Schizosaccharomyces pombe: one gene and its partners. Changing the gene in region 2 together with the main gene of any one other region gives a genetic interaction. Each region holds a gene or a part of one and is shown on either strand. Other genes may lie near its edges. The genes, in order: top2, top1, sub1 and mus81.

Region 1 (7,533 bases), 970 kb from region 2:
AATGGTTTCGTGAAAGTTTCAGACCCTACCGCAAAAATGCCTGGTTTCGGGAAACTCAACACTGTTGCACTTTTTATACTACAGATTGGGATATCGATAATATTGCGTAAAAAATCCTTTTTTTAAAAAGCTTGTTTACAGTAACGTAAATGACCAGAAATCAGATGAAAATCACAAGAAAGCAAATAATTCACGTTAAATCCTGATATGTTTGATTTTGTGATGAAATCATGGATGTTCATAGGAATTGTTGAAATTGCGCTTTTTTAACGAAATATACAAGTATCCTGGAGCTTACTTAATTAATTAATGAATCTTTGTTTCTAGATATTAAAATAGTAGCCTCAATTATCAGCGCTTTCTACGTTAGTAAACGAAATTTTTAATGTCAAAAAAATGTTTAATAGACAGTACGAATATGCATTATAATGTTCATAAATAATTTGAGTATGTGTACGAGTTGTCTTTAAACCCACAGAGGTAGAATGTATATATAAAATTAATAAGCTAAGTGTAATACTTAAAAAATACATTAATTGGAACTCGTATCCTACCATTTACAATGTTCATCCAATTTTTTCAGATTGTACTGTAAATAGCGTTTGAAAACACCAAATTTTAGAAGCTAATCACTCTCATCATAATCGTCTACATCCTCATCGTTATCGACGATAAAAGAATCATCTTGCATGCTGGGTTCATCCATGCTATCAAACGAGGGATCAACGTAAATAGGTGTTTTCACTGTAGCCGCTGCTCTTCTGGTTGGCCTCTTTCTAATCGGAGAATCTGAATCTTCTGGTGGCTCTGCGTTAGTCGAACTAGCTTTTGGAGTTGAACTACTACCTGGAATAATAAAATCATCATCGTCATCTTCAGGTGATTGTTTCTTTACCGAGCTTGCTTTTTTCCCTTTATTCTTCGCAGAAGCCTTCGTGGATGTTATGGTGGAAGGTTTCAAACTGCTAGGCAACAAATCATCTTCATCGTCTGAAGAAAATATGGTAGTAGCAACTGGTTTATTAGTCTTTCTTCCTCTTCCAGACGCCGAGGCTGCTATTTTTTTGACGGGTTTTTTACTACCTGCGTCTTCAGAGTCAACAGATTGACTTCTTTTTCTTGATTTTCCACTATCACTGCTATCCAATCCCGGGCTCTTAGATATGCGATTTTCTTCAACTGATAAGCCATGAGAGTTATCCTCTGTCTTGACAATGTTTATGTCAGATGATTTCTCAGGTTCTTTCGACGCTGCGAACTCAAGTAAAGTTTGTTGCTTTCGATTTGTTGTAGATGGTTTGGATTCGCTGCTAGCTTCTTTTTTAACAGCAGTACTTGAGGAGGATCCGGCAATAGCCCTGGGTTTCCTAGTACCAGTGGATTTACCTCGAGGCTTCTTTTTCGTTCGATTTACAAAATCTCTAGAGGATTGCTCTTCTTCTAACATTTCTCTCTGAATATCATCCATAACCTTATTCCAAGCATGCTCAAATGCATCCAAATCATGAAGCCACAATTCTTTAGGAGTTTTTTTAATCAAAGCATCCAGTTCGGCCATTACTTCGTCCTTTTTCTTGAGAAGTTCCACATACCGTTCATAGGTCAAAGACCATAAAGGCATTGAAAGAAGGTAATTGTAGGCATCTGAATCCTCGTCTTGCGAAACATCACCAGATTGTTCTTCTTCAGCAAGAGCATTTTCAACTTCTAAATCAACCAAATGCCCTTTCTTTGGTTTACTGATAGGTTGAAACTTCTTTTCCTTCAGCTCCACAATGAGATCCTTTTTCTTCTTTTTTGAAACTACAAGCTCCCCCTCTATAATCATATGAATAAACCGCGCTTGATTTGAAAATCTATCAAACCTTTTTTCCAATTCATTAACCATATGCTCTTTACGTCTCTGGTATGTCCTTAAACGTACTTCGTAAAACTCGGTCAAAATATCTTCAACACTGTCATACTTCTTGATCCGTCCAGATGCATCAAAAGCAATCATATTACTCGTTGCTTGAGTACGCGACAGTTTAAACTTAACTTCCAAGGATTCATTTAATGCTTCTTTCATGCCAGCTTCGGTAAGCGTGACATTAAAGTGAACATTTCCTTCACCGTGATGGCTTTCATAGTCCACGATGAATTTACGAATTTTTTCCGTACCAACAAGACCAGCCTCCAGATACTCCTTCATATCCTGAGTCCAAAATCGTATAGGCAATTCAGTAATTTCTACTTTGTTTTCACCAATTTGGTTAATTATACCAGATATTTTGTACCTGTCAGGCGCAACTTTCGTTATACTTCCACGAAAGCCGCGGTACCAGGGAGTCATAATTTCCAAAGGCTCGCCATTAAGCATATGTCTTAAATTAGCAGTTATATCCTTAGGGTTATAATTAGGAATAAAAGTAGACCAGCCAGTACCAATACCTTCGGCTCCATTGACAAGTACCATGGGAAGAATTGGCACATAATACTCTGGTTCAATCCACTGGCCTTCGTCGTTTTGGTAATTAAGAAGCTGGTCATCATTGGAATTAAATAAAACACGTGCTAAGGGTGATAAAGCTGTATTTAGATACCTTGAAGCCGATGCATTTTTTCCACCCTCAGATCGTGTACCGAATTGTCCATTAGGCATCAGCAAATTAATGTTGTTACTGCCAACAAAATTTTGGGCAAGATTAACTATAGTTTGCTCCATCGAAACCTCGCCATGGTGGTATGCAGTTTCACTAGCAACATAGCCGGCAAGTCTACTGACTTTAGTTTCATGGACGAGATTGCGTTTAAAACAATAATAGACAACTTTACGCTGACCAGGCTTCAAGCCATCTACTACTGAAGGAATCGAACGGATATTATCAGCCATACTGAATTGGATAAGCTCTCGATTAATGAAGTCATCAATCGGAATCTGAGGTTGAGTATAATCCATATATATACCAGGTCGATACGTTCTAAGCCATTCCTTACGCACATCGGCCTTTTTCTTGGCAAATGCCATTTCAATTAATTCAGCATCCTTCTCCTGCATGGCATGAAAGTACTTCATGTGACGATCAAGGTCTGAAAAATAACTTTTCATATCGTCATGGTCACTTGTTCCCAAACCCTTGTAGTATTTAATTTTCCAACCACGTCCATTGTTATTAGCTTCCTTCCAGTATTCGTACTCGGGTAAAGTGTAAAATGCTTGAACCTGATTGCCACGAGTGCACTTAATGATAGGTGTGATAAATTGGATCAAGAATCCAGGAATTTGCAAAAGAGAAGGATACGAGGATTCTAAATAATTAATAATTAAACCTTTAATATGTGATCCATCATGATCTTGATCTGTCATAATCATTAAATGACCATAACGAAGACCTTTCACATCGGTATAAGTTTTTTTATGAGTGAATCCCATGATTTTCTTGATAGCTTGAATTTCTTTGTTATTTAGGATTTGGGAATGAGAAGCCTCCCGTACATTCAGTAGTTTTCCTCTTAACGGAAAAACTCCATAATAGTCTCTACCAACAACACTGAGACCCGAAACAGCTAAAGATTTAGCAGAATCTCCCTCAGTGAGGATAAGGACACACTTATGGGATTCTTTGGTACCCGCTTTATTTGCGTCTTCGAGTTTGGTTAAACCCGTTATACGAGAACGCAAACCCCCATCGCCCTTACTGAGTTGCTGATCTGCCTTAGCGGTAGCAAATTTTAAAACCTCCTCCACTACAGAAGATTTTTTGATAGCTTTTAAAAATTTATCACTTAATGTGCATTGAGAGCCAAAAGCAGAAACTTTCGTGGTGAGAGTCTCCTTTGTTTGGGAATCAAAGGATGGGTTCTCTATTTGACAATTGACAAATACCTGTACGTAATTTTTTATTTGAAACGCTTTAACGGGTGCCTTTTTATTCTCCTTCTTGACGACTTCATCTATAGCATCGACAATTTTATTGGCAACATAATTAACATGTGTACCTCCACGAATGGTAGAAATATTGTTAACAAACGAAACCTGCTTAAACTGTCCATCTGAAACAGCAAAGGCCACGTCCCAACGGTCATTAACATGTTCATAAATTACCCTAGGAGGCTCTTCATCAGGTTTAGTGTCAGAAGCAAGATACATCTCCACATATTTCTTAAATCCACTTATACTGATGCGTTCATTGTTCAGGTAAACTTTAGTTTCACGAACGGTACCTGCCATATCATAAATACGGCGTTTTATAATAGATACCATATCATCATCAATCTTGTCCATACCAAATTTTGCTAAATCGGGTTTGAATGTAATTTTTGTGTATTCATCGGGTTTCTTGAGAGAAGTGATCACTGGCTCAGACTTTCTGGACATATTGTCATACCAAGTTTGTTTATATTTCTTCATCCTTTCCTTATCAGCTGTCTCAACGACAAATTCAGTAGAAAAAATATTGCAAAGTTTTGCGCCGTAACCATTTCTTCCTCCTGTTACCTTCTTTTGATTATCGTCGTAATTGCTTGAAGTAAGCAAGTTACCAAAAATAAGCTCGGGGATGTAAATTTTCTCTTTATCATGAATCTCTATAGGAATGCCCTTGCCATTGTTATAAATTGATATGACATTTGCTTCAGGATCCAAAGTCACCTTTAGGGTATTCATGTTTGGGTCGCGAACTTTGTTGTCAGCAGCATTGACAATTATTTCGTCAAATATCTTGTAAAGGCCTGGAACATAGGTCACTGCTTTGTAATCCAGCTTGTTCTTCTCAGAGTCAAAGACCCACATTTCAGAAGTCGTTGGCTCAATACTGCCAATGTATGTATCCGGACGTCTTAGCACATGCTCTCTCGGTGTAAGACGCTGGTACTGTGTAGATACATTAGAATTTCCATTTCCGTTGTTGGTAACTAGTGGTATCTGTTCAGAAGCTGTCATGGATGTCAAGCTAGTTTGCCTTAAGTCAGGAGTGCTTGCCTTCTTGGCGCGAGACTTTGAGGATGTTGTAGATGCTTTCTAAAAAAGTTGTTAGTATTTTAAAATAATAATAAATTCCACAAACACTTGCATACCCTTTTGGTGGTTGTGTTAGGTAAAACGTTTTCGTCTCCAGACGCTTCATCTTCATAGTCGGAGAAATCCGCATCAATGGACATAGTTTGTAAAATTAAGTTGGAAATATGTAGTAAATCAAAGGTTATTCCAACGTGTAAACGTTATTATTAAAAAATCAATGGATATAATAATGACACGCTTTAAGCAACGTCAAATAACAAAATTAAGATATGTAAGAAGAGAAAATGATATTTGCCCTTAGTATACGATATTAAAAAACGAATGGAGAAGTGACCTGAAAAAAAAGTAATGGATAAAAAAGAAGGTAGAACGAATGAATACCAAATATAATGTTTTTTGTTAATTTGGATTAATTTTTTGGTTTAAAAAAGTATTAAATAGATATTCAAGCGTTTATATCACCACAGACTGATTCACGTATGTAGAAAGTCGGTCAAAGCAAACGCGTGACGAAAAACTAATAGTATGATGGAAACTTCAGAGATTGTATGTATGATAGTACTAATTTAAATAGTTTGTTTAAAAGCTCTAAAGGGCTATGTGTTCAACTATCCCAACAATGATTGAAGTTGGTAGCTGGTGAAGGATAGGAAGAGAGAACAGAACATAAGTAGATAGAAGTTGCAACCGAGGAATTGATTACTACGGAAAAAGAAAAAGAAAATTATTTTTAAGAATAAATAGCAAAAGAAAGGATTTCTAAATTTCCGTGCGTTATTAATATAGGGATGCGCTTAAAACATAATTGAAGTCTGTAAAAAAACCGTATTTGGAACATATGCTGTAACTAATTTGTAAAGCAAATGTAATAATTAATTAATTGTATAATAAAGAATGTTTGTGCTTTGAAATTAAAATTGAAATTCTTGGTGCTATTTTATATAGTATGGAATAAACAAAGGATTTTGAAAATGGAAAATGAATGTTTAGATAAATCCATAATTCATGAGTATGCTCGCAAAGATTGTAAAAGAATTGAGTGACCTATTACAGTTGGTCATTTGAAAGAAAAACGCTAAACACGATAAAAAGAGATGAACGGAAAGCAATGATGGAAACAGAAACTGCTTTTTTAAATTCTTCTTGATTGTACCATCAGCATTAATCCATATTATTTCGATTAAGCTGTTCTTGAAACATTGTTGTATGTAACTATCATTAAGTTCAAACAATTTAATAGTAATTTTGTGAATATAGCTTCTCCCTCTATTTAACAATTGCAGGTATGAAACAGGAACAAAAACATAGAAAGAACTCTCAAACAACAGACTCATCTAATAAATGCAATAAACTTTTTTCTGAAAATCTTAAAAGAAGCTGCAAATGTAACAAAAAATGGTAGGCCCAGCAGATAGCTGATGCATGGGTTTAAGTATTTCCATTATTTATCGATGTTGCCAACCAATTCCCATTAATGGACGAAAAATAGTGTGAAGTCGATTGTTTAATAAGGAGAGTTACAAAATGGAAGCGCAAGACAAACGCATATTCGGAGTCACTCTTTCAAGGTATAAGCAAGCATTGGATAGCCAAAACGAAATGTGTAGGATCTGAGCAAGAAAAATGCTTTTTGAAGTATCTCAGACAGCTGCTCATAAGTCAGTAAGCGATAAATTATTTAATGGAAGAAAAGAGTGGATCAATAGATCGGCGGCTTCTTTCATTGGATATTCGCACAAAATGTTAATTGACCTAAATTTGAGCCATCTAACATAACCATCACTTCCCTAATTTCCTGTGTATAATAGTCCAAAAAAACGGAATCGGACATCGCGAACATATTCCGCTCGATCAGAGCAGATCAAAAGGTTGATTCTTCAGTGTCCCACATTATAAGGCTATTTCTCGCTTACCAAGGAACACATCAGACCTCCTGAACTTATCCTCCACCAACGTCCTCTTCATTTTAAAATTCATTTTATTGAAAAAAAATCATATTTCTAGCTATCTTGCACCTCTATTTGGCCTTTGCTTATCCCCGGATCCACGTTGGATATTTGCTCGCCTATCGAATAGTATATTAAAAAAAGTTCGCTTGAGAAAAAAATTATTTGTCAAAGTCGAAAGTGGAAAGACGTTTTTAAAAGAAGTATTTTGTGGCAAAGAAGTCAATATCTAAGAAGAAAAAAAGTTTCGGTTGATCTGTAACTAAAATCAGCGTCAAAATAGCATCACCAATACGTCCGAGTGAGAAGCATCAAGGTTCCTCAAAATCAAGAAAAACTTTACCAATATTACTTCTATTGTTTTATCTAGCATTAAAAATAATTTCATTTAAATACAATCCTAGAGCGGGATTGTTGAAAAGAAACCCAACCTAATCTTAGTTTATTTGAATTTGCTCAGCTAATTTTGAATGTGACTATATTGAACACTCAAATTGGCTAATTCTTCGTTTAACAAACATCGAAAACTATTTATTTCTTCCCATCTTTTTGTTTATTAAAAAAAAAAGAAAGGAGAACAATAACAGA
Region 2 (5,290 bases):
TCGAGTCTCTGGGAGGGGCCCCTATGCTGCAAAAATGTTGGAATTATTAGAAAAAACATACCAGGAAGAAGCAACAATAAACTTTGGGAAGGTGGAAGGAGAGATTTCTGCTCTCTACGATAGCGTTCTTTTAGTTGATCGATCATTAGATCGTATTACACCGTTTTTGACTCAACTTACCTACTTTGGATTTTTGGACGAAATACTTGGAATTCAGCAAAGTATGATTCATATTTGTTTATTATTTATCTAACTGATTAGTGAATGTCAAACTTCCTTCATCCTTGGTTAACCGAAATGAAGCTTCAAATACTGGACCGATGAAAAAGTTTTCTTTAAGTTCTTCTTCCAGCCAAATTACCAAGGAAATTAGAGACATAAATTTTAATTGCATAGGCCCTTATTTAAGCAAAATTGCTCGAAAACTATCCAGCGATTTTGAAGGTCGACGTCAAGCCAAAACTGTAAATCAGATTAGAGACTTCGTTTCCAAACTGGGTTCCTTACAATCGGAGCATACATCATTAAATATTCGTAAGTATTTTTTTCTTTTGATTTCCATAAAAAATTTTATTAATTAGATAGACACTGGTCTCGCTGAAACTTTGGTGCAACACACAAAAAATAATTACTTTCAAAAGCTACTACAACTTCAGCATTTGCTAGTTTCTCATGCCGATTCTTTTACTCAATTCAATTTATTAGATGAAATTATCTATGCCGAAGCACCTGTTGAAGAGGTTTTTCGAGTACTTTGCCTTGCAAGTATAACTACCAATGGTTTGAGAAGAAAAGATATAGATCATTACCGTAGGGAAATCACTCAAACATATGGTTATTATCACCTTTTAACATTCCAAGCCTTGATAGATGCAGGACTATTGCGCCTCCGGCAATCCACTAATATTTCACTTCAAAAATCATTGTCTTATTCTACATGGTTAAACACTTATCCTTTGGTTAAGGACGAAGTTGATGAGCAGAATCCTGAAGATATAGCCTATACGTACAGCGGGTACGGTCCTTTGTCAGTCCACATAGCATATGACATTTTAAAAGGCAGAGACAATGAAGAAAAAATTCTTAAGTTGCAAAATATGCCTGGAACTTACGTTGACAAGTGGACATTAGACCAGGAAAAGGTCATGCCTAAAAATTTGAAGACAAACGTACCAGGTAAACGTCGTGTTTTAGTTTTTTTCATCGGTGGTTGCACGTACACAGAGCTGGCTGCATTTCGTTTATTGCAAGAAAAAGAAGATTTATATGAATTCACATTTATGACTACGGGAATGGTAACTGGAAGCTCTCTAATAAGAGCTTTTATTCCAAATATTGAATCTTTGAATGAGTGATGATCACCCAGTTTCATTAATTTGTTCAACAGCTAAAGACGATATTTAATCTCATTTTTTTTCACTAAGAGAATCCCATAATTTTAATTATTGTTTTTTTTATTAACCCACTTTATTAAGTCCTTAGTAGTTTATGAATTTGAAGTGGCATTAAAGCTTTCCCTATATGCTGTTAAGCTATTTGCTATTTACTGCCAAAATATTAGCTTACATATTAAATAATAAACCTCCAATATTTGGCAGCTAATGGCTTATTGTATCAATCAAATCACCTTTTTTTTGTTTTGGATATTCAGTGGCTTTTGGTATTGTTTACAATAAATGTAAAGTTAAAGCTTTCAAAATTATTAGAGATTACTTTTCTCGTACTGTTAATGGGTTTATTTTGAAATATGCACATTTATAGCTTTTTGCTGCAAGCTTCGTAACATTAAATTTTATTTTATTTGAAAATTCCAGTTTCTCATTTAGCTACTAATTTTTACAAACATTAATTGTCAATATTTGGTTGTCATGACAACGAGTGTACGTACTCAATATTAATCCTTCTTTTACTGTATTATAGATGTATGCAAACAATTCACAATGTCTTCGTCTGGTAAGGTTTCACGTAATTTAACAACATTTGCAAAATTTTTAACAACTGAAAAGATTCAGATTCCGTGTCTTTATCCATTAGAAGGAGGCAAAGACGCGGTTCATCTAAACGGATTAGTATGAAGGAGTCGGACGAAGAGAGTGATAGTTCTGAAGTATGTTCACAACATAATAATTAAAGATTGTTGACTAATTGTTTAGAATCATCCTCTTAGTGAATCGTTGAATAAGAAATCCAAATCCGAGAGTGATGAGGATGATATACCGATTAGAAAGAGACGTGCTTCTTCAAAGAAAAATATGTCCAATTCAAGCTCTAAAAAAAGAGCTAAAGTAATGGGAAATGGTGGTTTAAAAAACGGAAAAAAAACGGCGGTTGTAAAAGAGGAAGAGGATTTCAATGAAATTGCAAAGCCCTCACCGAAGCATAAACGTGTTTCTAAAGCGAATGGAAGTAAAAATGGCGCGAAGTCAGCTGTTAAAAAAGAGGAAAGTGACACAGATGATTCAGTTCCATTGAGAGCTGTTTCGACTGTATCTTTAACTCCTTACAAATCAGAACTGCCTTCGGGAGCTTCGACCACGCAAAATCGCTCACCAAACGATGAGGAAGATGAAGATGAGGATTACAAGTGGTGGACTTCAGAAAATATCGATGATACTCAAAAATGGACTACATTGGAGCATAATGGTGTAATTTTTGCTCCACCCTATGAACCTTTACCAAAGAACGTCAAGCTAATTTACGATGGAAACCCCGTAAATCTTCCTCCCGAAGCAGAAGAAGTTGCTGGTTTTTATGCTGCAATGCTTGAAACCGATCATGCCAAAAATCCTGTATTCCAAGATAATTTTTTCCGTGACTTCTTAAAGGTCTGTGATGAATGTAACTTTAATCACAACATTAAAGAGTTTTCTAAATGTGATTTTACCCAAATGTTTCACCATTTTGAGCAAAAGAGGGAAGAGAAGAAGAGTATGCCGAAGGAACAGAAGAAGGCAATAAAGCAGAAAAAAGATGAGGAAGAGGAAAAATATAAATGGTGCATACTTGATGGGAGAAAGGAGAAGGTTGGTAACTTTCGTATTGAACCTCCAGGGTTATTTCGTGGTCGAGGTAGTCATCCTAAAACTGGTTCTTTAAAGCGTCGAGTATATCCTGAACAAATTACCATTAATATTGGTGAAGGTGTACCCGTTCCAGAACCACTCCCTGGGCATCAATGGGCGGAGGTAAAGCATGATAATACAGTGACCTGGTTGGCAACCTGGCATGAAAATATAAATAATAATGTCAAATATGTCTTTTTAGCTGCAGGAAGTTCTCTAAAAGGACAGAGTGACTTAAAAAAATACGAAAAGTCAAGAAAGCTTAAGGATTATATTGATGATATCCGTAAAGGCTACCGGAAAGATTTGAAAAGTGAGTTAACGGTTGAGCGTCAAAGAGGAACTGCCATGTATTTAATTGATGTTTTTGCTTTAAGAGCAGGAAATGAAAAGGGTGAAGACGAGGCGGATACTGTTGGTTGTTGTTCACTGCGATATGAACATGTTACACTGAAGCCACCACGAACAGTCGTTTTCGATTTTCTTGGTAAAGATTCTATTCGTTACTACAACGAGGTTGAAGTTGATCCCCAAGTTTTTAAAAATCTAAAGATCTTTAAACGTCCTCCCAAAAAAGAGGGTGATTTAATTTTCGACCGTCTCAGTACAAACAGTCTTAACAAATATCTGACTAGCCTTATGGATGGACTTTCAGCTAAAGTATTTCGTACCTACAATGCTTCATACACCATGGCCGAGGAACTTAAGAAAATGCCTAAGAACCTCACCCTTGCAGACAAAATACTATTTTATAATAGGGCAAATAGGACTGTTGCAATTTTATGTAATCATCAACGTTCCGTAACCAAAAATCACGATGTTCAAATGGAACGGTTTGCCGAAAGGATTAAGGCATTACAATACCAGCGGATGAGACTGCGAAAAATGATGCTGAATTTAGAGCCCAAGCTTGCTAAAAGCAAGCCCGAATTGCTGGCTAAAGAAGAAGGCATTACCGATTCATGGATCGTAAAACATCACGAGACACTTTACGAACTAGAAAAAGAGAAAATAAAAAAGAAATTCGATCGTGAGAACGAAAAATTAGCTGCTGAGGATCCCAAATCAGTGCTTCCGGAATCTGAATTGGAAGTTCGATTGAAAGCGGCTGATGAGTTGAAGAAAGCGCTGGACGCTGAACTTAAAAGCAAAAAAGTCGATCCAGGTCGTTCTTCGATGGAACAACTTGAGAAAAGATTAAACAAACTCAATGAACGAATTAATGTTATGCGTACTCAGATGATCGATAAAGACGAGAATAAAACTACTGCTTTGGGTACAAGTAAGATTAACTACATAGACCCGAGGCTTACTTATTCGTTCAGCAAGCGAGAAGACGTTCCTATTGAGAAGCTGTTTAGTAAGACGATTCGTGACAAGTTCAATTGGGCTGCTGATACACCTCCGGATTGGAAGTGGTAAGTCCTCTACGATTTAAGAAAAGTATCTTTCATTGAACTTTTTAAAAAAAAATTATTTATTATCATCCTACGGCAGACAAATTGTGAAAGTGCTTCGTAATTTCGTGACTTAATGATGTCTTGAAATGAATGCTAGCGTACAACAACTTAGTGTGCTGAAAGAAGGAATTAATTACTTCTAGTTTAGTGTTTAATAAAAATTCATACAAAAAATGCAAAGCTAAGGAAGTTTTTTCAGCAAAAATATAGACAGAATAAAATTTAGCACAAAACAAATTGAACGTGACATTTCATACTATCCCCATTGCATTTGGCTTTTTTTTTCATAATTACTGTTTACTCTTGAGGTCTTTTTCTTTAATATTGGTGAAATGCCTGTTACGATCATCAAATTCAATATACAAGCAAACTTACTCTTGTAAACAATTTTTTTTTTGTTTTTTTTTTTTTACAAATAGAAAAGGAAAGAAAAGCCAAGCTGCTGCTTTTTTAATCTTTATACCAATTACTCTTCTTTGGTTGTACTAAATAGTTTTTCAAGCACTTCTATACCATCCAAATTACTTTTTTCTCTAGCGTTTACATTTGACTGCCTTTTTCGCATCTTTAAACCCGGTTTCCACTTTTTCGTTCTCTTTGTCAGATTGGCACAAGTTCCGGTATAGCAGAAATATCAGTGGAAGAGATTTTGTCTCACTATTTGCTGGAGCAATCCAATGCAACCACGAGCGGATACAATCGGGTTGGTAAAGATTAAATTACGTAAAACAAAGTATGAACACACTAGCATTTGGATCCTACCTTCTA
Region 3 (4,976 bases), on a different chromosome or scaffold from region 2:
GGCATTGTCCAACAAATCTACATAACTGCAGATCAATCGGCTTTATGCTGTGTTGTTGTAAGTCACATGATATGTTTAAATGCTAATCATAATTTATGTTGGTTGTAGCTTGATAAGCAAAACTTTGTTTATTTACAATTTTGGTCCTTGAATCCATCTAAAAAAACAAACTCAAACTCACCTTTATGTCTTTACGAGCATCGACTATATGGAATTCCGAATCCACCTTTTCCTGCAACTTCACTGTATGTTTCGATTGATATTAAAACCGTGGTTTGTGGATTTGCAAATGGATTGGTTATACGCGTTGAAGGTGATTTTGTAAGAGATTTGGGATCAAGACAAGATATTATACTAAGAGAAAAAGATTCTATAACAAATCTTATCTTATATTCACCTAAAAAACTATTTGTTTCTACCACGACTCAGGTTATGGTTTATAAGATAAAAAATAACACCAAAAAGGTCATTTCCAATCATGGTATACCTTTATTTTGTTCAATTCAGTATCAAGGAAAGTATATCATGTGCGCTGGTGGCTCCTTTCTTTCTGTTTATACCACTCCTGATATGCAGTTACAAAACACATACTGTGTCGATGGTACATTTGAACTCCTATTTTCTAGTTTTGGGCTTGTTTTTGTGGTATACACTAGAAAAAATGGTGAAAACGGACTGGAAAACAATTCATCTATACGCGAAATCAAAGCATTGGACGTAGAGAAACGCTATGTTCTATATGAAAGTTTACTTGAACAGAGCTATGATAATATTTTTTTCAATTCTTTTGATTGTATATTTTTTTCTTCGACTAAAGTTCCTTGTCAATTAATACGTCTTCCATCTGACTTTGTTTTATGCAAAATGAAGGGAAAAAAAGAGCATAAGGATGCATTTAAAATTGCTAATTACCTGGGTTCTCCTGAAGATACAATTCGCGAATGTGCTCTTGCAGCTGCTGGCGAATGTCGCCAGCAATTAAACTTTCAAGACGCTACGTATTATTATATTGAAGCTATACCGTTTTCTGATTCAGCAGAGATAATTAAATTTTACTTGGAAAAAAAATTAATTAAAGAATTGACTTCTTATTTGGAAGCACTTTCTGCTAAGGGGTTCGCGTTTTCGCATGAAATATCAACGTTAATATACTTGTATATCAAGCTTAGAAAATTGGACAAGCTTACCGAATATGTAAGCGGTTGCCCTACTGAAATTTCTTTGCCAATTTTAAGGAAATACAAGTGCTTAGATCAAATGGAGCTGCTAGGAACTATTCGAAAACTCCCAAATGTATGCATGGAAGTTTATCAAGAGAAAGGTGATGTTGAAAAGGCGTTTAATCACCTTCAAGTTTGTAATTTACCGGAATTGTTGCGAACATCTAACTCATTTGGTATTTGGTTATTTAATTCGGATCCGATGAGGTTTATGAAAGAAGCGATAAGAAATATCGAAATTCTAAATTCCCAAGGCAAAGATAAGGAGTTGTCAAATATTCTTAAAATCGTGTATTTAGGAATTTTCAGTCAAAACGTACAGATACAATTAATATTTCTTGATGAACTTTTGAAAAGCAAGAAATCAGAAAATGTACTAAAATTCATTTACACACGGAAACTATATGCATTAATGCAAAAAGAGCTACAACACTCTAACCCCCAAAATGAATTAGATGCACTTCAAATTATTCATGATAGTCAAGGCCTTTTAGACTACGAATCGTCCATTCTTTGTTTGCAGGCGGTCTCTTGGAAACAAGTGACAGACTTACTGTATTCTCATTTATCTCTTAAGGAAGGTCAAGATGATTCCTTAATTCAGCAAATAATCAGTGATCCTGAAACCGTAAAAACCCTTAGTGAAACGTATAGCAGCGAAGACGCCCTTCATGTTCTCAAATTCTTTGTTCGTGAACGATCTATAACTAACAAGTACGAAGATATTTTATATAAGATTTTGGAGGCTTGTTTTATGCAATTTCGTATCCCCATTCAACATGTTTTGAATATTCTGGTGAAAGACGGCACGTTGAACTTTTGCTTTCTTAAGCCTTTACTTCTTAAATGGATGAATGATTATGAAACTCGCATCCATCAAAATGATGATGAAATCCAGGTAATTAAAAATGACATAGAAAAAAAAAGGCAGCTTTTGGGAACTATACAAGATTCAGAAAAAGTTTGCGACAACTGTGAAGGTCTCTTAGATGTTCCTTTTGTTAGTTACAGTTGTCTACATTTAGTACACCGTGATTGTGCTACTGAAACTGTATGTCCAAAATGCAAGGCGGGTTATTTGGATAAAAAGAATTCACATGATCAGAAAAAAACGTCTACGTTTTCTGAGTTATTTCACGATTTTGAATCTATTGATTCAGTTATGTTGTAATGTTTAATAGATGAAACGTTTGCCATTGCTTGAATCTAATCTGATTAAACGAGAAGATTTTCTTTTGTTACTCATCAGTTGAATCACAACACTGTTTAATTTTCAACCGAAGAGTCGTCAGTTTTGTTCTCTGTTTTGGTATTTAAGTCGTCTTCATCATTTTTTAAGGATGCGTTGTTTTCAGCTTTTTCTTTAATCTCATCTTCCGAATCCGAGCCGCTATCGACTAATCCTAAAGAATCATCTACCTCGTGAATAAGTTGTTTCAATTTTTTCCATTCATTTATGTTGAGAGCAATCCCCTTTTTTCCTGGTAGCATGTCACCATCTTTTTCATAATATTCCCGAATATGAACATATCTAGTACCACGGAATTCTGACAAAGTTATTCTTTTCTTTTCCGTTTCATTCAACTAATCCAAAACAATTTATTAGTTTCGCAGAATTTCTTTTAAGAACTTACTGCCCAGTGCAATTCATGATCGGATTGCTTCTCTGTTTTAGGCTTTTTGCTGGATGCTTTGTCTCCCGAAGCTATCACTCGTTTTCCAGCCATATTTAAATCGTATTGGTAAAATCACATTTTGACTCCAAGGATGGTAACACATTCACCACATAAGGAGTTGCTATGTGTAGCGGTGTTATCAGCTTACCGATGTGAGTATAAACTTGTCATAATTTATGAGTATTTAAAGTATGCGAAGTTTAGCGTACTTACTATAAGTGCTTTTCGGCTGGGTATGAATTTTAGGATACTCACGTGGGGACTTTTTTCACCTAAATCCATTTATAGAACACTTATGATTAATATGAAAAAACCCCTTTGCCTGTTATTACTGCAACCCATATTTAATCGCCATCCTTGAATTTGCTTGTGAATGATTTATTGAAAATTACATTCCGTTTGCAATTTAATTTACATAGGCAAAGGCAAGCGTATCCCCACAAATAGTATACATTTAGAGATGCAAAAGTAATGGAATACGATTAGATCTCATATATTAAGTTTTTCAGTTATATCTAATAATAACAAAATTTACTTATAATGGGACAGGCATCAAAAGTTTTCACAACGCCTGAATTAAATTATTAAAATATTAACAGTAGTAATAATATAATACAGCATTTACTTTAGCAATAGACATTCCAAAAGTAATGAGTTAAATGAATAGTTAGATTGAAAAAAAAAAGAACTGGAACATATAAAGGACGCGGTGAAATATACAATGTCAGGTAGATAACGGAGTGAGAAGAATATCTATCGTCTTGATACAATATAAATTAAAACACAGAATTGTAGCAATACCTAAAACAAACAGGCAAGCAACATGTTTTTTTTTGAAAATTAACGTGTAGTTGAGAACTAAGTTTCAACAACACGCGAATTGGAAATACTTATTTAAAGCATCATGTTTTTTCGTCGATAACCAAAGAACGGATACACAGTAAGAGAACTGGCAAGAAATCCAATTGCAATTCCAATGGCAATTTCAACCATTGTAAAACCAAATTCAAGACTGCTGTTCTGGGAATTTTCTGTTGTAACAGTAGTAGTATTTGTAGTTGTATTTTTGCTGGTAATTTGGCTAGCTGTATCAAGTCCAGCACTGACACCTCCTTGAGCTGCAAACCCTGAAGGTACTAGAACAAAGATTGCTGGAAGTACCACGGCAAAAGAAGAAGATTTAATGAAATGTGAGTACATATTTCCTAAGCATCCGACTGCAAATGAACCTATAGCACTTGATATCTGACTAGCACCAAAATGTAAGGAAGAAAAGTAATACACCACATATCCACAGCATGCCACAAACATTTGAATAGGCCATTGTCTAGGATGAGACTGGGTCACGATTAATAGACTCAACGTAAATATTGGGATTAAAAGAATGTACCAGTATGGACTGACTGCAATTATACTCATACATGTATCAGCATCGGTAGCATCTTTGTCCATCCAACCATACAGAGCAGATCCAATGGTAATCCCAAAACTTAAAAATAATGAAAAAATGACGGCGTATAACATTCGAACACCTCCTGCCACAATGTTTTTTGATTGAAGCTCCAAAACGCCACAAAATACTACGTAACCTGGAAGAATTAAAGTAATGGCTCCTTCAACGAGAGCAGCAAAACAAAATACAGGTTTGTCGTATCTGCTGATACTTCCGAATGCTCTGCCCAGAAATGATAGAATAATTGAAATAATAACTTCGAAAAGACTGTCAAATAAGAAAAATCGAGGATTAATGTAAACACGAAATATACCAAGCAATAGACCGAGCACGAAGCCTATCAACATATCTCTCCATCCACCTCCATATACAACTGGTAGAATCGAAGCGCTCGCAACTCCATGCATGAAGGCAACAAGCCAATCTCTGTACAAAGGGCGAAAAGATGTGATGTTTCGCAAAACTTCTGTACCATCTTCCGCACTCAACTTATCCCTCATAACCCTTCGAAAAATTTCGTTTACTAAAACCATCCTATTTAAATCGGTTTGAGATGTAACGCGAACGACAAAAACATCAGGACTATACTGCTCAAGCTTTTTAAAATAAACAAACATACAATCTGGA
Region 4 (4,537 bases), on a different chromosome or scaffold from region 2:
AATTTCTTCAGTAAATGCAAAATGCAAAATGTTATGATTTACAATCAAATCACATGTCCTAGCAAACCAGTTCTTCCATACATACCAAGGTGCTCTTTTTCATCTTCCGGAACGTCTTTAAATCCAAAATGAGTCATGTGGCTTGAGGTATCAGTATCTTTCGAGCTAGTACTGGTATAGCGACAATTAGACAATCGAGAGCCAGCCAAAGCTGTAGACCTGATTCCTTTCAATCCATCAGCTAAAAATTTAGCAACAGGAGCTCTTAAACGTGACATGATACAGCAGTTTCAAAAACGAATACCAAGTGTAACGGTTTTGTTTATGGATAGTGCTAGGTAGAAACTCACGATTTGAAGGGAATCTGATGCTACCTATATACCGCAATACACTAACATACGCAATTTCCGATGGTAAAGCAAAGGTAAATTAAATATATGGGAAATGATAAGAAAATTGAATAAATATTATGAATCATAAATAAATAAAAGTTCAAAGGCTCAAGATTCTGGAAAGAAAACGCTTGCGACCTTGGCGGAAAGTGCTGGCCCTATTGTTTGAAAACCATAGCCTTGACAAGTCTTATTCAGTAATAAGTTTCTTTCCTGGCTAGATGATGACTTTTCGTACGCCTCAAATAAATGCATGAATGTTGGATATTTCTTCTGAATCTCGATGGCTTTTGAAGCACTTATACCTTTTATAGTCATAAGCATTCGAATAAAAATATCCCCCACGGTCAAAGTAGAAGACTTCGAGAGGACAGAGGAAAATGCATGGTATGATATGTGGTAAGGAGTTGAGGGATCAATTTTTAGAAGTTGCTCTCGTAACGACTCATAAGTTTTGGCTTCTATCGACAAATCGGGAATGACAGCGAGGGTTTTACGTTTCTCATAAAACAGGTTAATTTGCTTTGTCATTTCAGCAAGCAAACTTACGCTGTGTTCAAGTGATCGCGTATGACGGACATGAAATAATTGATCGACTTGGGTATTGCTAACAGCTGTACGAATTGATTCCGTGAAACTTTCATCATAAGAGGATTCCTCCAAAATGTAGGTGACTGAACGTATTCCGCTCTTCTTTAGACGTGCCTTTTGTTCGTGAAATCTTCCGTCCTTAATGGAAGCAACTAAATCATCATATCTTTTCCTTTCAACGACAAAATCCAACACAACTTCTTGACCGCTTTCCATATCCCTTGCAACCCATAAAGCATCTCCCAATTCTAATGATCGTACCTGACAATTGACACCAAAGTCATTAGTCAGTTTATCGATAATAAGATTGCGATCCAAGGGAGAACGTATTTCTCGAGTATCAATCAGAAGAAAAACCGTACAGTTTGAGAATAATACCGTCTCGATTTTTAAGTTAGACAAATTGCTTTCATTTGGTTGCTTTTTTTCTTGTTCCGTCAAGTCAATCAACTGCTCATTGTTAATGATATGGTGATCATGAATTCCGGTCAACGAATCCACCTGATCAACATCTATATCGGTTTCAACACCATCAGAAACTTCATTATGATCTACCGGACAGTAAGTAACATGTAGTTCACCTCCGTGGTCTGAAGAACTTCCTGCTTTATTGATTGATGTAACAAAATTTGGAGGTTGGCATAAAGAGGAATCATGATCATCGGATTTAGAGACAGAAAAGTTTGATACAGTATGTTTCCGTTGAAAGGAATCGTCTACTTTTGCCAAACGTATGCAAACTTCTTCACCATCGTCGGTCAAGCAGTACTTAGAGGGATGACCTGTCTGGTAAACTAAATTTTTTGTGATCAAAGTCTTCATAGCACTCCATGCAGTATAACGCATGTTTCGGTCTGTAGCAGATCCAAAGGACGAATCACAATACGGTTGGGCCATCGTAACAATTTGAGGCTTTGTAGCGAATTCGTGTTTATTAAGCATATAAAGAGCGCAAAGAATTGAATATGCACCAGAACGATAGCTCGGAACATAGACCTTTCTCTTTCTTGTAGTCGGTTTTTTAACGCTTCGAGGCTTTTCAGAAGAAGTCTCAGAAGACGATTTATTAGCATTGACATGAGAATCATTCTGTTCATTGTGCGTGCTAATTGGAATATTATTTTCCAAACAGTAAGCGTTCCATTTCTTTTCTAGCTTGGCACAAATCGTAGGGCCAATTCCCTTCAGTGCCAATGCCTGAGAAGGACGATGAAATGTGATGGGGCAACTTTTCATTGAATCGTAGGCCTAATTATTAGCACGGTTTCTTATTTAAAACAACAACAACAGTGATTGTTATGATATTTATGGAGTACGAAGCTATAAAAGCTTTCGAAAAATTACAGTCATTATTAATTTAATATTTAAATTATTTATTTTTCAAAGAGTTTTTCACTAATCCAATAAATTTCCTACCTTTCTCCAGGTTTGATATGACTTGGGGAAGCGACGCGTCGACTCTTCCATCCACTCCTGTATCCATTGTAAAAACAGCGGATTTCCACAATCCATGGATCCGAAAAACAAAGAAAAAAACTATTTCATTCAAATTATCGATTGTCACACGAAACAAAAGTCTAAACAAATGGATGTGGATAGAATGCGATTTCCTAAATTTCGTGTAAAGACATTAGCATGGTTGCCGGGACAACCGAGATTTTATGATCAGTATAAACAAAATAAAGAAAACAATTATAGGTGAACAAAATAAAAAATCATTATCATCATTATAAAACAGTTTCTCGTGTATTAGGGTATATTTTTAGAAAGTTTGTGAAATGATGAAGCTTTAGATCATAATAAAGCCATACTTGGATGATTTTCTGTTTTCCTAAAAGGAAGGGGTTTAAGAAGATCCCTTTTGTTTCTCGAGCTGCTTGGCAGAAGTATATGCTCTTTGGCGTTCCCATAGGACAAATTTGATAGCTGCCATGGTTTTATTGACTGCAAGTACACGCTCATTTGAGGCTTTGGGAATAGTCAACTGTAAGCGTTTCATTTCAGCCCTTTGTGTGAACAATAGGTTCTTCTCTCGGAGACAATTGTACCAAAGTCCATGTAGATCATTAAAAGACTTCCAACGAAGCTCTTCTGCAGCCCATGCTCTACCGAATTTAGCCTCTTCCGATGGTGGTGGAAGGGCTTGCTTGTCCCGAAAGAAATTCCACAAAGGGTGCGTGTCTGAAACCTTAGGAGCACTTTTTACTTTTGGAACAGGAAATACAAAGCCCTTTGGAATACGTACGGCTGCTTTCTGAGCGCTAGCCAACGTGGACCTCATCTTTGGTGGTAAGTAGAAGGTGCGCTGTAACACCCTGACATTGACCGATAATAATGGTTGTAAGTCATACTTTAAAAATAATTATTTTTTATTATACTTCATTGACTTTCTTAATTATTGCTAAATTGAGAAATTGTTCATTTCCTTATTTTATTTTATTTTAAGATTTCATGGCGAGGAAACATTCCAAACGAAAAGTTTATAATGTAAACAGAAAGTGTGTAGGGCGATTTATGTATTTTCCCTAGATTTGTTATCGAGTGAAAAGTTTGAATCCATGAAGGAAATACTAAAGTACTTTGATTTGCAGCTAATACATGGTGTAATGATACATTGCTTTCGACCGCTTATAAATTTATTTCGAGATTAACGGGACGCAACCGTTTAATTAAAAACGGGAAGTAAAGAAATTTTTTTTGTCTATACATTTAGAAAAATTTGTTCAGTTTCATAAAACAGTAGCACATAAATTTTGAGGATCATCGGTGGGGAAAGAGACAGGCACCAATTTAGGTACCTTACGGTTTCGTTGAAAAGTAGGAAGTAAAGAGGGTTGGAGGTGAGGGTATTCTTCGACTGTTGCTATTTGATAGATGCTACCGGAACGGACCAGTTGACCTTTATTTACCATCCAACGAATGGCCTCGGAAGCGCTGTCGTGAAAAGTTGGTAACAATGGTACGTTTTGAGCAAGCCAGTTAAATATTTCATCTTTGGAAGGTGAGAGGGTGTTACGAATAGCTAACCGTATTAACGTTGGATAGTCGTATAAGGTTCCAGAATTCGCAACATAACTTGCGGTATAGGGGACAGGTGCAGGCTCATCAGAGGGAGCTTCATCTTGTTTAGCATGAAGTCGCTCTTGTAAAGATATTTGTTGGCGTTCAGAACTAACAAGTAGTTGATGCCGAATCTCACCCAACAACTCCCGAGTACGTGGGTTGTATATGGGAAGAGATGGATAAGACTTTTCACAAAAAAGAATAAGATCTGCGAGATGAGGAGTAGGTAAACTTGATAGATACATTTTTTTGTCTGATTCACTTAACCCAAGATCTTGTGCCGTCATTCCCGTTTCTAAAGGTTGCTTGGCACGCCTGTACTGGCATTTCATACAAAACCATTCAGCATCCACATCCTGAACGGTTGCATCGTCAATCGGAGGGTGATGGCAAAGCTGATGATATGGAGAATTGCATCCATCACAAAATACGATTCGATTAGATAAAGGAGAATGTCCTCGTTGACAGACGCTACACAAGGTGACCATATC

Evidence for each region.
Region 1: of top1 (region 2) and top2, changing one enhances a phenotype caused by changing the other (phenotypic enhancement), as found in Schizosaccharomyces pombe (5 studies listed by BioGRID, with this or other methods).
Region 3: mutations in top1 (region 2) and sub1 together harm fitness more than expected from each alone (negative genetic interaction), as found in Schizosaccharomyces pombe (2 studies listed by BioGRID).
Region 4: of top1 (region 2) and mus81, a mutation in one rescues a mutant of the other (synthetic rescue), as found in Schizosaccharomyces pombe (3 studies listed by BioGRID).

What each region holds. Positions count from the first base shown.
Region 1 is NC_003423.3:1,975,628-1,983,160, forward strand, and holds top2 (DNA topoisomerase II), read right to left. Parts: upstream 5,641-7,533; 5' UTR 5,140-5,640; coding exon 5,056-5,139; intron 5,030-5,055; exon of another isoform or gene 5,000-5,029; coding exon 626-4,999; 3' UTR 534-625; downstream 1-533. UniProt on the Schizosaccharomyces pombe protein: Control of topological states of DNA by transient breakage and subsequent rejoining of DNA strands. Topoisomerase II makes double-strand breaks.
Region 2 is NC_003423.3:2,941,231-2,946,520, reverse strand, and holds top1 (DNA topoisomerase I), read left to right. Parts: upstream 1-1,924; 5' UTR 1,925-1,940; coding exon 1,941-1,953; exon of another isoform or gene 1,954-2,006; coding exon 2,007-2,107; exon of another isoform or gene 2,108-2,153; coding exon 2,154-4,484; 3' UTR 4,485-4,787; downstream 4,788-5,290. Other genes in the region: HOPS/CORVET complex subunit, vacuolar sorting protein Vps33, read left to right, coding at 1-221, 262-534, 586-1,355. UniProt on the Schizosaccharomyces pombe protein: Releases the supercoiling and torsional tension of DNA introduced during the DNA replication and transcription by transiently cleaving and rejoining one strand of the DNA duplex.
Region 3 is NC_003424.3:3,078,983-3,083,958, reverse strand, and holds sub1 (transcription coactivator PC4), read right to left. Parts: upstream 2,962-4,976; 5' UTR 2,948-2,961; coding exon 2,855-2,947; exon of another isoform or gene 2,805-2,854; coding exon 2,487-2,804; 3' UTR 2,392-2,486; downstream 1-2,391. Other genes in the region: SPOM_SPAC16A10.03C (Pep5/Vps11-like zinc finger domain-containing protein), read left to right, coding at 1-57, 109-2,391; SPOM_SPAC16A10.01 (uncharacterized protein), read right to left, coding at 3,791-4,976.
Region 4 is NC_003421.2:460,678-465,214, reverse strand, and holds mus81 (Holliday junction resolvase subunit Mus81), read right to left. Parts: upstream 2,496-4,537; coding exon 2,400-2,495; exon of another isoform or gene 2,391-2,399; intron 2,234-2,390; exon of another isoform or gene 2,232-2,233; coding exon 501-2,231; downstream 1-500. Other genes in the region: coq5 (C-methytransferase), read right to left, coding at 86-278; mrpl4 (mitochondrial 54S ribosomal protein uL29m), read right to left, coding at 2,830-3,264; PHD finger domain-containing protein Phf1, read right to left, coding at 3,713-4,537.